Lepisosteus oculatus: one gene and its partner. The protein of the gene in region 2 purifies or fractionates together with the protein of the main gene of each other region. This does not show direct contact. Links are inferred from orthologs where the notes say so. Each region holds a gene or a part of one and is shown on either strand. Other genes may lie near its edges.

The links.
Region 1: the proteins of anapc2 (region 2) and nek2 purify together in Homo sapiens (affinity purification with mass spectrometry; 4 studies listed by BioGRID and IntAct, with this or other methods). This does not show direct contact. The link is inferred for Lepisosteus oculatus from reciprocal best matches to the Homo sapiens genes ANAPC2 and NEK2.

What each region holds. Positions count from the first base shown.
Region 1 is NC_090697.1:46,237,173-46,244,442, reverse strand, and holds the start of nek2 (serine/threonine-protein kinase Nek2), read right to left. Parts: upstream 3,014-7,270; 5' UTR 2,766-3,013; coding exon 2,670-2,765; intron 2,659-2,669; exon of another isoform or gene 2,391-2,658; coding exon 2,173-2,390; intron 445-2,172; coding exon 204-444; intron 1-203. UniProt on the Homo sapiens protein: Protein kinase which is involved in the control of centrosome separation and bipolar spindle formation in mitotic cells and chromatin condensation in meiotic cells.
Region 2 is NC_090719.1:331,803-338,990, reverse strand, and holds the start of anapc2 (anaphase-promoting complex subunit 2), read right to left. Parts: upstream 3,025-7,188; 5' UTR 3,010-3,024; coding exon 2,698-3,009; exon of another isoform or gene 2,221-2,697; intron 1,565-2,220; coding exon 1,493-1,564; intron 1,336-1,492; coding exon 752-1,335; intron 675-751; coding exon 542-674; intron 236-541; coding exon 79-235; intron 1-78. UniProt on the Homo sapiens protein: Together with the RING-H2 protein ANAPC11, constitutes the catalytic component of the anaphase promoting complex/cyclosome (APC/C), a cell cycle-regulated E3 ubiquitin ligase that controls progression through mitosis and the G1 phase of the cell cycle.

The DNA.
Region 1 (7,270 bases), on a different chromosome or scaffold from region 2:
GAAATAAACGATCTTAGTTTTAAGAAAAATATGCTGTATTCTGATATTTCTTTTTAGCCATGAACATCACCAGGAAAAGCTGACAAACCCATACACCGATTTAAAAAAAAAAAATTATTTCAGAGTGGATCCATCTAATATTTAATTCTTACATCCCTGATAATTAACCAGCGGGCCGATTAGAAGAGAAGATTTTAACTTACTGGAGACATGTAATAGGGAGTTCCCACGAAGGTTTTGGCAAAGCTGGTATCATGATTTAATATTCTGGCCAAACCAAAATCTCCCAGCTTGACATTCTGCTTAGCATCAAGGAAGATGTTGGCTGGCTTGAGGTCCCGGTGTAGCACCGTGTGGCCCCCATCACTTCTTCTGTGGCACTCTTTCAGCGCCAGAGCCAGCTGGGTGAGCACCCGCAAGATGAACTCCTCATCCAGGTATCGCCTGCGAGGGAAGGAACATGGAGCACTCAGTTTTATTCGATGGAAAACCCTCTCATGCAATGCTGGTCTTCAAAGTATAAGGGCTACCTATAGCTGGCTAAGAGTGGAAAAGATCTAGCCAGCAGCCATATACACCACAGCTTTTATGAAAACAGATCCATTATTACACCCATGTCCAGCAATAGAAGAAAAGCATCATAAAGGACATTTAGGTCGGGTCTTCAAACAGCTTTCAGAGCCAGCACCACCAGCTTCAAAGTGATGGCAAATCTGTTTTACCTACTTAATAATGATTAGAAAACGGTTACATCCAAAATGCTTTATTAATGAATTGTGTAGAATATTTTATAGAGTACTAATAAACTCATGCACAACGGTAATACTCAGGATTCAAATTAGATAGCTCAAAGAACAGAACAAGAGCAGTCTGAATTACAGCCACACATCTATTCAAAACCAGAACAAAAGCCAGGAAAGCATGAACAGACTGGGAAAAACACCTGGCAGATTCAAGGCACATGGCAAAGCGGCTCCTGAACCAGTCCAGAGAAGAGCAATTTGATGCAGTCCCGGTTTAAGGTTATATCCTTCATTGACAGGCTAAACGAGGTGAACCTTTTCTGGTCTTGAACAAAGATGACTAATCAGGGGGGTCAAGAATTCAAAATCCTCAAAGGCACTGAGAAAATCAACACAGCAGAGTCCTTCAGAAACACAAACCAGAGGACAAGTGGAAACTTGTTGTTGAAACTATTTAAAGCCAAGAACAAAAGGGTGTGGGAGTGTGCAACAAGCTCCACAGCCACATTTTTGAAGTCGATTCCCTGGTTTCTTTCAAGAAGCGGCCGGATCAATTACCGACCAGCTCCTAAACGGGCTAAGTGGTCAAAAAGACAAAAGTAAGATAGGGGGTCAAGTGAACAAGAGATCACAACTGGAAACGTCCTGCATTTCATTCCAAGAACAAAAGCTACTCTACATAGAAGGCTGTGGGAGTATGGAACAGGCTATCCCACCAAGTTGTTAAAATACACTCTAGCTTCAGTCATGAAATAACTGGATGAGATCCTCAGAGCAATCAATAACTAGCTACCAAGTGGGCTTGATGGGCCAAATGGCCTACTCCATCTTAGGAACAAATGGCATTAAAGGTGTCGAGAAATCAAATGCTTGTTTATCTACACTACCATGCCATGAATATAAAAGCAAACTAACCTGAAAGAAAATAAGTGAGATGTTTAGAGGCTAGTTTGGCAAAGTCTCAGGCATATGTTTTATTCAGTAATGGTGTAGCTCCAGAGACCTCTTAGTTGTTTAAGCCTGGACCAATTAAAGGGGCCGTACAGTAATTATGCAGTTCCCTACCCCAAGGAAATAATGGGAAGGCTATGTATGATGTATGACCAGGGCATTAGACCCGTTTGGCATTGTTAGCGTTTGCTTTTTGTTTGCATGACTTATTTCTCCCTTGCATTGTGATCCAGCCATGAGTGAATATAACCGTCACTGACGTTTGCCTTCTTCCTAGCATTGCTGGACTCTGCAAAAAAAAAATCTTAATATCTTAACTTGTGGCTAAAGAGACGGACTGCTTTTAATTTCATTTACTTCCGAATACTCCCCAGTAATTCGAGTCTAGAAGTCGGAGTATTACTTAAACACCGGTAACTGGCAGGCACCCAAGAAAAGAGAATCAAGGGAGGTACACTCATACAGTGTACGTACGCACCTTTCTTTAATACACCTGGTGATGAGACTGGACAGATCCCCCCCCTCACAGTACTCCATGACGATATACAGCGTGGTGTTGCTCCTGTCGATGATGCGGTCGTAGTACCGAACGATATTGGGGTGCTTGAGCTCACGGAGGAGATTCACTTCGGACACCAGCATCTGCTTTTCGGCTTCAGTCATGGTGCCATAGTCCAGCTCCTTCCACACAAGTACCTGGGAGCGCAGCAGATAAAAGTACTACAAATACTGACGATACATGTTTTAACTGCACGGTAACGTCATCTTAAAATGAAAGCGCTTCTCTATGCACAATGATTGCATCACACACAACATCATAAAAGCGTGACGAGGAACAAAAATGCATATTGTTAATGTATTTTAAAAAGACGTTCCAAGATAGCGTTCGTATTTTGCATTATCCTTCATTTCAAAAGAACGAGTATGAAGTCGGTCATGTAATGCAACCAAACAACACAGTGAAGTAATGTATACCTTTCCATCTGTCTTTCGTCTTATTTTCTGACATTTTCCATAAGATCCAGATCCAATTGTGTATAAAACTTCATAATCTTCTACGCGAGACGGCATCTTTAAACGAACTTAAAACAGAAAGTAAATGTTAAATCCAGATTTTTGCAAGGACAATCTCTTCAAACAGCGGAAATCCCCCTTTCAAAGAAATACTGATAGGTGACTGCCAAATATTTGTTTTAGCAGCCTTCTTTGACAACTTTCTTTAAAAAAAAAAGAACATTCACATTTATCCTTTCGTTATTGACAAACAAAATAACGCGATCACCTAGGAGAGTAGGAAGTTCAAGCTTTAAAATTGGCGTGGTTTCGTTTCTCAGATGTGATTGGCTTTCCGCACGGAGGAGCGAAAATCTTATTGGTCAGAAAATCAATACAAACCCACACTGCACCAGGCGTTGCTATGCAACAGAAGCCCGCGAGAGAACAGCGGGTATTTAAAGGGATCTTTAAAGTAAAAGATTTTAGTTTATGCCGAACATAATACAGTACTTCAACATTTCTGGTCTTTGTATTAACTATTGTTTATGTTACGCTTCTCTGCCTTTTGGCTAAAATTAAGTGTAGCGTTTCTTTATTCTGGAAAAGGTCAATGAAAAGATAAGCTACGATTAATCGGTTCACAAATTTAAAAGAACTTCAGGAGACTATTGTCCTAGTTGTAGTTTGAGCTGCTCATTATGCAACTATCTTGAAATAATACTGAGTATATTAGCATTACGTCTGTGATTGAAATATTTTAGAATCCTGAAATTATTTATAGTCATTTTAAATTAATGGTTTGTATTTTGGTACGTGAAGTTATATGATTTGTTATTTGTTTATGCAGCGCTAGTAAACTGAATTATTATTCATTATAATATTACACATGTTGCGAGTGAAAAGCATTAGTGCAATCATGCTTATATGGGAGTGTGCAAACAAAGTTAATCAAAAATTTAAAAGGCTTCAACTATCTGGGTGGAAGCCTGTTCCAGACACTCGCAACTCTTTGTGTAAATGTGCTTTACTGTCTATCCGAAGTTCACTTTTACTTTCCAAATTGCAAACTTGTGTATTTGTGTCATTGATGAGTGAGAAATAGTTCCCCAGGCTGCCTCTTTTTAACAAAAAATAATAAATATAAAAAAACAGTTTTATTCCATGCTGAAAATCTATTTATACTACTTGAGGATTTAAAATACTCTTCTAAAATCTTCTTTTAATCCCTTTTATTCTATAGCGATGAGAACATTTGTTCTGTAGCTTTTTTGTGATCTCCTTCAACCTGTCTGTATACGACAGACATTTCAGGCCAAGAATCAATCTTATTGTCGTGATGTCCTTATTGTGATATGGTTGCCAAAACTGGAAACAATGTTCTAAACAAGATCTTACTAGTGTGCTGTAAAATCTGAAGCACGACTTTCCATGATTTAAACGTGCCATATTCCTAAGCATTCTGTTTCCTTTTTTATTGCTTCCCCACATTGTCAAGATGAAGACATGAAGGATATTAAACCCAGACATCTTTCTTGCATAGGTGCCTGTAGCTTAGAATCACCCATGTGATATATACCGTAGAATATGTTCCTTACTTCCTGTATAGATCACTTTACAAATATCAACATTAATCAAATGGTTGTGTGCAAGTTTCTTTTTAATTCCCTTGGTTCTGTTTCTGTGTCTGCTATTCCCCACTATTTTGTATAATTTTAAAATTTCACTTAGAAATGATTTAGGTGATGACATCACAATGTCAATCATTGATACAGTTCTGGCTAAGCAGTCTAGCACAGCAGGCCACAGCTTTCAGAAGTTATGTTCTTTGCAATGATGTCCTCTTTCCTGTTTGTTAACCCATTCTCAATCTGAGTATACAATACCTTTAATCCCTACAGCATCTTCATTTGTGAATTAACCTTTTAAAGCTGTTTTGAATACAAATATTTATGAATGTTATTTAAATATGTGGGTGTCTATGAACAGATTAGTAAATGTTTTATTTTTTTAAATTGTGAAGTATATTAATGGCAATATTCATCAATTTCCAACATCACCTTTTCACTGGCATGTTAGTACAGGTATTTGCACATAACCCCTCACCATAAATCTTTTTTTCATGATGGAAATAGATGTTTTATTGTAATACTGTATTTGTATTAATAGAATAATTTCCTCAACAATTATTTTGACACCTACTGTAACAAAGTCATATTGCATTCCCTAGCTGTGGTGGATAATTATAATCTAGTGTATTAATAGACTCATATTAGAGATTGTTTTGCATAATCTGTTTGGGAGTAATTTGCATGAACAATGGACTGGAATTCTAAGATAGTTCTGAACTGAAAAAGAAATAATTTCCCTCTCTTAATTTTATCTCAAGAATGCACATCATCATTGTTTACTCTGAAGTAAGAATCTTAGATATACTAAGAAGAAAATAAAGAACATACTTACCAAACACACTACATAGAGGCTAGATGAGCCAAACCAAACCTTTTATGTTCTAAAATGGAGACACTTTTGTATTATCAACATTTCAGCAAAAAATGTGTTTTCATTTTTAATTTCAAGTAAATAAAAAAATGTTTTTTTTTGCTTTCTTTGCTTTGCTGTGATTTTCTTGCATATCATTCCTTATAAATTAATGACCAAGGCTTCATCAAAATTGGTCCAATGAAAATACATTGCTGTTGTTAACTGTAGCCACTTTTAATCAGTTTCAGGAAACAAATGGTAAAAATCACTGTTAATGCAAGACAGCTAGGAGGGGCGTCTTATACACCAAACAGGCTGATTGGTTCATCCTTCAGAGGTGAGTCCTCTTATTCACATACAGTAGTTATAGGTGTGTCTAACAACACTCAAAATGAATGTGATGGTGCCTCATTTTCCCTTCTAGGCATAGGCTACATGTCTGCAGATCTGCACATGAAAGCCCTGAATACCCATATGAATGAAAGAAACCCCCCAAACAAGAGGCTGCCTTCATACCTGTGTTAAAAAAGATGTGTGTAGTGCAGCACAATCTCAAATATCTTTGCAGACTGTAGATAAAAGTTTTCTTTTTTTATATGCCACACCTCTGCCTCTCCCAATCTTTGAAAACTCAGTTTTGATTGTAAAACCAGGAAAACGCATTGCTAACATTGTTATCACAACTTTAGCTGGGGCATTAACAGTAATAGTAAATAACATAAAGGATCAACTGGGAATTGTGAATGTGAATTGTGTAGGATTGACAATTACAGTAAGGGAGTTCATTTTGAAGCCCAGACTCCTTTTTACTTTTTTTTTAACATGGGGTGTAAGGTGCACTAAAACGGGACAGACTTAACCTTGCAGTCTCCCAGCTCAGTCAGATCTTTTCGAGTTAAACACCTTTTCTTTGCAAATAATCAAAGCAACTGTGGGTGACGTGAAGAAGGCTCCAGAGCAAAAATGTTGTGTTTCTTTTCTTCTCTTTTCAGCCTGGAATAAACCTTTACTTGTTCCTTTGCAGCCTACGCATGCTGATGCAGCTATCTACTTGAACTATGGTTTTTGCCCATGGCTGCTTAAACAGGAATTCAAAAAGTGGAAAGTGAGTGAGATGATCTCAGAGTTCCACTGTAAATGTATATATCCATCCACTCACAATGAGCTCTTCATCGAATACAGAAGTCATTCCCAAACCTGAGCCTTGAGAAAGTGCTGTTTGTTATTCTAGCAGAGTTCTTAATTACAAGCTGATGGTTTTCAGCTGGATTTTCGGGCAGTATTTTTAAAACTTCTCTCAGATCCTTAAAAGGTGATTGGGACTTTTAATTATCACCCTTATACCAGTTTCTGTGATTCAGGGGTTTTTGGAACTTAAAGAAGCAAGCAGATCAATTAATGTTGTCAGTTAGTACTGGCAATTTAAGAGGTTGCCTCGACTAAAGTCAGCAAAGGTAATGGTCCCACATGGCCACCGCAAAACAGAGCTGTGTGGATCTCGAGCCAAACCCAGCAGCACAAGGCATAAAACACCACAGGCCACAGATAGTCTATGGCATGACGCACAGACTGGTCAGTCTAGACATGCCAATTAACCTTGACAGGTTGATGTCTAGGTTAATTCTTTGGATAGTGAGAGAAAATAAGAGCCTTTGGTCAAAAAATAAATGTAGTCAGGAATAAACCATACAAACACTACACAGAAGCCACCCAGGCCAGACTCAAACCTGAGATCCAACCATGTCTATATAGTACTGCTATAGCACCATGCTGCTAAAAAATGATTTGTACTGTTTAGTGGGTATTAAATCTCATTATACGTTCATTGGTGTAAGTTGTTTCTAAAACATATGCTTGAAAAAAAAACTTTCTGTCTTCATTGTTTAGTAATTCACTCACATGCTTCAAGACACGAAATCTGTGTTGTACTTGGACACCTCTGAAGCAGAAGTTCCAATTTTTTATGAAACCAAGAAATACCAAAAAATAATGACAAAAGGCCACACAGTTGTTTATTTGCTGTCACACAATACAATATTATGTCAACTTGACCCTTTTATTTGACTTCATTTTCATGATTTTTCTTTCTTTCTGTAACC
Region 2 (7,188 bases):
CACAAAACACAGCCCCCCATCTCCACGAGTCTATCTCAGCTCTCTCACACTCCTCCCACCCTGGGCCTCCCGTCTCACCTCGGATGATGCTGAACAGCTCCTCGATCCTCATGCTGACGTACAGCCGGCAGAAGAACTGGTGCATGTGGCAGCGCCATCGCTGCAAGGCGGCACTGCCCGGCCCCCCGGCGCTGGCAAACACCCGGCCCAGCCAGCCCAGCACCCGCTCCAGCCACTGGGGGAGAGGAGACAGGGCTGACCGGCCGAACCAGCACACCTCGCGCTCTGTGATCTGTGTTGCCCAGATTCTTCTAATCCTTAAGCAACAACCTGGCCTCATCTCCCACCACACTGGTAGTGACAGTGGAGAGACTGAATGAAAATAAAGAGCCGTGGTCATGTTTTTGTTTGTATTCACTATGTGACAGAGACAGAGACAGGACTGCTGAGCCTGTCGTGTGTGGGATTCAGTGTGAGCAAGGCAGATGATCAACTCCCCAGGAGCAACACAGCGGGAGGGCCAGAGGGAGGGGGGCAGTACCTGCTGGAAGTCGCTGATGAAGGAGCTCTCGTACTCGCCCCGGCAGCGGCGCTCCATGCGCTGCTCAATCAGCTGGTGCAGGATGGACGTCACCGACTCGGCGCTGACTCTCTCCTGGAGCTGCAGCCTGGAGCTGCGAGGGGCCAGAGAGTCAGCATGGCCGCGCATCTCCGCACACCCCCCCCCCCGCCGCCGCGGCCCCTCACTCACAGGATGTGGCTCAGCTCGCTCAGCTGCTCCAGGGCCTCCTCGCACCAGCACTCCTCCGGGGGGATACTGCAGCCGGGACACCGCCCCCCCTCGTCCCCCAGGGGGCCCTCGGCCTCCTCTGGCTCCCCGTCCTGCCCTTCCTCGCGGCTCATGTGAGCGGCGAAGGTGCGGCTGTAGAACTCCAGCACGCGCTCCTGCAGCACCCCGCCGGGGGAGAAGAGCAGGATGGCCCGGATCAGCGCGAAGGCCCGGTCCCTCAGGCCCTGCGCCCCGGGGCCGCTCAGGCCCCCCCGGCCCTCGTCCTGCCAGGCCCCCAGCAACCCCAGCCCCCTCAGGAAGGGCTCCAGGCGGCTCAGCAGAGTCCGGAAGGCACCCAGAAGCAGCGCGGCCCGCTCCCTCTCACTCAGCCCGTTCTCCGGCTGGTCCAGCCCAGCCCAGAACTCGGGGGCCACGGCCGCCTGCAGCCGCGTCTGCAGGGCCTCCAGGAGCCAGGCCTCCAGGCTGCCGCCGAGCCCCCAGGAGCACAGCACCGCCAGGGCCTGGGACACAGGCTCTTCAGGGGGGGGTTCTGGCCCCGGGGACACCTGGGGGAGGAAGGGGGTGGGGAGGCGGAAGGAAGAGGGAGACTTGTTAAAATTCGAGCAGGAAAATGCCCTTCCTGGCTCAGTTAGGAACAGCAGAAAAGCAGGATAAAGGGTGCCACCCCCTGGCCCTGCCCCCTCCTCGGGCGACTCCACTCACCAGCACGGAGGTCACGCTGTCCCAGGCGGCGGCCAGCGGGGCCACGTCCATAGCTCCCCCAGGCGGGACGGGCTGTCAGAGAGAGGAGCAGCTGCTACAGTTTGCTGGCTCAGTACCTGCTCACACGAGCAGGAAAGCTACTTTAGTTCTGGTCCCTCCCACCCGGTAAAGAAGGGGCTTCTTTTCAGGGGGCTTTCAGATAATGAGGCGCAAACCTTCCCCTGAAGCCTGAGACTTTGAAGCCCCCCATGTTATAACACACCCCGGCATGAGGAAGCCCAGCTGTCACAGTGCGCACAACACCCCAGGACCCTCAGGGTCCTGTGCTCACGGCCTCCAGAGAGCTTACTGTCACGCCTTATCTCGGGATTGTGACAGGTCTGTCACGGCTTAACTGGAACATGGGGATTCCATGATAATGAATTCTCAATTACGCTCCTATAGTACATCAGCCTTTCCTCCGGAAATCAACCTGATACATTATCCAAGATACACGTCATTGAGGGACCTATTTTGATAAGCCACAGCTACTGACATATTATTATGTATTGTTTGTTTCTGTGTTAAAGTATCCGAACGAATCTGACACTGCAGTGTCGTACTGTAGGTAAGGGAATCTGCTCAAGACACTGCCCGACACTCCTTCAACAGCCGCGCACCCTGGTCTTTCCTGCAAAAGCTTCTTTGGACTCTGAACTTTGCCCAAAATTGTTTCGTCGCCGACTTACCTGAAAAGCGCCGATTGTTATAATTTTTGGAGCCGAATCAGTAACAGGTTTCTTGTTCTGAGCCCTTCGAGTGGTTCCGGTGCCGCTCTTTCCTGGTCAGCTCCTGGAACTGCCCACTCAGAAAGGAGCTACAGCCTCAAATTACTGTCTTGAATATGTACACCCCATGCAGACAAAGACGTTATATTTCTAACTATAAAACCAGGGTACAATTTTTTTACCCAACCGCATTCTCCCGCTCGGCTGCGGCGCACTGTAATGACGTCACCACCATTTTGTTAGCTATGCCCCTAATAACAGACGTCTAAGTCTAATAACGAGATCGTAAACCTTCCGTGTGGATATGAAACGGCTCATCACCGACACTGCACGATAAAAGCAAGGCGAAGAAGAAGCATTAAATAAGAGAGCGTTGTAGAGTGTGGCGGAAGCAGAGCGGCCGTTTAGCTGCGCTAGGCAGTTGCCCTGGAAACTGACCGGAAGAGGAGGGCAGCGCCGCACAACAGCTCCGCAGGGAAGACAGAGGGGAAACGGGAACGCAGGGGAGAGGGTAGCTGAACTGACAAGTGGGCACTGCGACCGAGCCTCATCTGCGTGCCAGCAAAGGAGATTCGTCTCGAAGAGGCGGGTGGAGCCGAGGCCCATCCCGGGCAGTGCGTGCAGGAGTCCCGCCGAGCCGGCAGGATGAGCCAGCAGGGAGCGGCGCTGCAGACCTACAACAACGAGCTGGTCAAGTGTGAGTGACCCGAGGCGGGAGAGATCCTCTCGAGCCGTCAGACTGAGACCCATAGCGAAACAAATACGGTGTGATAGCCTGATGTCCAGCATAGCAGGCAATTCGTGCTGCTTAAAATCGAGAAATAAAATACTTTTGCTATCGCCTCCGCAGCTGGAGGCTGTCCTGTGTCAAATAACGGCACGGCTTGTGTGTTTTCTGAACACAATGCGAAATCAGCGGAGGATGCAGAGGCGTGAATGTGTGGGAGATTGCTTCTTGTTATAGCTGAAGATTTTAGCATTTTTGAGTTGAATGCAATTGTTTCTGTTTTTCATCGAGCGTTTCCAAGCTACTGTTGAAACTGCTGTACCGTCGATGTGCATAGGGCCGCGCTCACAGTGAGCAGTGAGTGTCGGGATTAGGCACAGTGAAGACAGCCTTCCAGGAGGTTAGTGGGAATCCGATTAGAGAGGGTCTTTTGCTGGGGTAGTTCGAGTCCTGTGGTCTCCCGGGCTCAGCTCGACTCTCTGGACCGATCCTGTTGTGAAGTGTCTGTGGGCTGTAAGGGATGTCTGGACTCATTACTGTATCTGGCTTCAAAGTAGGTCTTTGTCATTGAACTGTATGTGAGCGGAATTGGTACTGGTGTGGGCAGAGATTTGAAAGGGGGCTGTGTGTTTACATAGGGTGTGTAGCTGGGAGGCACTACAAACAAGCAGGAGAACAAAAATCCTATTAAATTTGTTTTCTGTGCATTCAGTGGCAAACAATAAATCAGAATTCTGCCCTGAAGTCACATCCCAGGTGGGATTACACAAGTGATGTCATTGTATTCCACGGTATGCCTCGAGTGCCCAGCTCCGCTGATTTAGTTAACTCTAATTAAAATGACTGATGATCAGCTGGGGTGAGAATCCCTTCCTCCTCCAGTTTTGTGACCTCAGAGACTGTCCACTCCTCCAGCAGAGATGGTGATTCTTCCTCCATGACACCTCCCCGGCCCCCAGAGCTTTGGGTGGGTAGAACTGCACAAATACAGCAGCAGTCATCAGGCCTGGGCTGGCACGCTGAGGGACAGTGTCAGCAGTGGATGTATTGACACGACAATACACTAGTACTATATAGCTGCATCAGTGTGCAAGCTGCAAACGAAGAAGGCTTTTTCCTTTTTTTCAGTGTTTTCTTAACTTGAAATTGCTCCTGTTAAAACACTGACTGAACCCATTGTAGGTTCTCGTTGGAATGGTGCTTGAGGAGCTGTGTTACTGTGCTGCGCAGGTATCGAGGAGCTGTGTGCGAAGAGGGATGAACTGAACAGACAGATCGAGCAGGAAGAGGAGGAGAAGGTTCGGCTCCAGAATGACATCCGCATCCTGACCGAGAAGTTGAGCCGTGTCAATGAGAGCCTGGCGCGCAAGCTGGCCTCACGCAATGACTTTGACCGCACCATCGCTGAGACTGAGGCCGCGTACATGAAGGTGAGAACTTCTCTGCTGGCCATACTGGTGCTGGATCCCATTACGTCTAAGTACTACATCTACACATCTACACACATTGCATCCCGCACTATCTCAACTGCATACACTGCACACTCTAACACCTACAGCATATCAAATAAAAGAATGATACTGTTCCCTACAAACTTCATCCTAGACATCAGGCAAAGTCTCAGTATGCGTCTCTACACTGTGGTTGCATGGTGCTTGTGAAGTCCCAGTACTACTTAAGTAAACCCTGCATTAAAGGCATCCAGCATGTCCTTGCATAACTGCTGTTTTTGCATGGGGGGTAGTGTTCTCCTGGACATGTACTCCAGCTCCCTCTGGAATGTGTAAAGACTAACACCCCCCAATCTCTCTAATGAAAAAATAACACTAATGAGCCGCTGTGCCTGTACTCCCTGGAGTACCCTGGCTCCGAGCTCTTCAGCATGACAGCCCCCATCTACTCCTTAATTGCTCCACTGTGTCCAGCTTTTTTCCCAGCTTTATTTTTGAGGAAAAAGAAAACTCTCTTTTCAGTATGTGCTGGTTCAGCATGTTTAATCTTAGGAGAACATCTGAAAGATTTTTAAAGAGAGGAGCCAGTTCAGAAGATTCCAGTTGACTCACTTAGTTAATCACAGAGTCTCATCAAACTGTTTCCCCGAAGGGTCCTGTGGGATCAACTCCCATATCAGGGATGAGTAGGCAGGCTCAAAGTTCTCCCAACTCTCCACGTAAAGAAGAGTTGAAACAAAGAAGATTTCATGAAAACTGTCTTGGCTAACAGAACTCCTCTCTCTCCTCCTTACCCCTTCTCTCTGCAATGGCCAGATCCTGGAGAGCTCCCAGACTCTTCTGAGTGTGCTGAAGAGGGAGGCAGGGAACCTGGGCAAAGCTGCTGACCCACGGAAGGCACACAAGGACCACTGATGCCACCACCCAGCCCCCCAGAGGAGAGAGTCGAGCCCTGCAGCACCAGAGCCCGTACTGGGCTCCCGCGAGTCTGGAAATGCCCCTGCTGTGGCCTCCGTGCTGACAGAGAGACTGTAGATCATCTGTAGTTGCAATCAAACTGTTCTGAGTTTCATGCACCAATCTTTTGTATTTCTTTTCTAAAATAAAATATATAGATTTTAATAAATACTTCTACAGAAGCTGCAGCAGCCTTTGTTTTTTAAAAATATGCCGATCATCCACTTCAGTGTCTCAGGGGAGCTGGACACTATCCAGCACAAGGTAGGGTACACCCTGGATGCGACCACCAGTCCATCGCAGGGCTCCCACACCCACAAATATGTCAAATCACACCAGGGCCAGTTTTCCCAGGACAAACAAACTAAAAAATACACCAAGTTGAAATGTATAATTTAACTGCACCATCATACACGTACAGCGTGGTAAACAGACACTTTTGAAAAGCATGCAGGGTGTAGCTAAGGGACAGTTTTTTATACTGCCATCTTAGGAGACAGAAACCCACTGCAATCAAGAGACTCCAGAAAAACAATTTGTTTAATCTAGTTTTTATTTGCATTTGTGTTGTCTGACGAACATTTTTTAAGTTGTTTGGGTAGAAATGATACAATTAATTTTTTTCCAATGCCATAGATCAAAAGAATACAAAGAAATAAGACGTGACAGTTTCTATTTTAACATACAGGTAAGTTTCTCTGGCGCAAGAGTGGACAGTGGGCTAGAGCTCTGGCCCTCAGTGAGCCTCTCTGCAGCAGGTCAGTCCCTGGTCTCCAGGGGCTGCAGGGCGCATGGCTGTGTCCTGTGATTTCCGTCACTCTCCACTGCTCACTTGGGAGGACACCTCTAAGAGTTTCTAGTTGATAAAGGCAGCCACTGCTTATTGCTCATTAAACACAGGGGCTTGCTCTTAATCCGACATGAGCATGAGTTTACAGAACACCTACTGTGCTGGGTTTGCTACAGCAGCTCGTGTAGCAGGAGTGCTTGAGACTAATGTGCTTAATCAGGACCTGTGAACAGTAACTAGAGGAAATTGGGAATGGAGCAGGAAAGTGAGAATTTTTTTTAATTTGAAAGAACTTAAAAACTCTATGAATCGTAGTATCCTGGAGTTAAAAACCTGCATTGACAATAATACTCACCAGCCTCTTCTAAAAGCCCCAGTCCCTCCCTGTCTGCAAGCCCACTGCCGTGGTCTGGGGGCTCAGAGGCTGCAGCTCTCCACCCCCCAGCCAGCTGGATGCATCTCCTCCCACAATAAGTGCAAACAAAGCAATGACAGTGCAAATGAAAAAATAAAAAAAATTCTTATCCGTTCCCTCTTGCTCCTTTAACATCAAGTAACTGGAGGAATTCCACCGTGAGAACAGAAGGCATGCAGACGACACTGAGCAGGCGGTGAACGGGCAGGGGCGGGCAGCTCCTGTCCTGCAGCGCCAGGCTCTGGCCCTTTTTAGAGTTACCTCTCAATTAGCACCTGGTTAGACCTGCAAAACGTCTTTGCATTTGACTTCATAGCCACTTAATTAGTTCAGTTTAGTCATTAAAGTCGATGGAATGGAAAATGGAATGAAAAGCAGAAACAAATGCAGATGCCCAGGACTGGAGGTACCCACCCCTGAGAGAACCATTAATGATGATGATCATAACAGGAAATGAGGAAACACTGCCCTCCCGTGGAAAGGTCTGATCTTGTTGCTGAAATTGAGAACGTATTGTGCTCTTCTATATCCTTTACAAGAGATGCCAGGCATGCAGTCATCATCATTATTGATAGGTTACAGAGCAGCC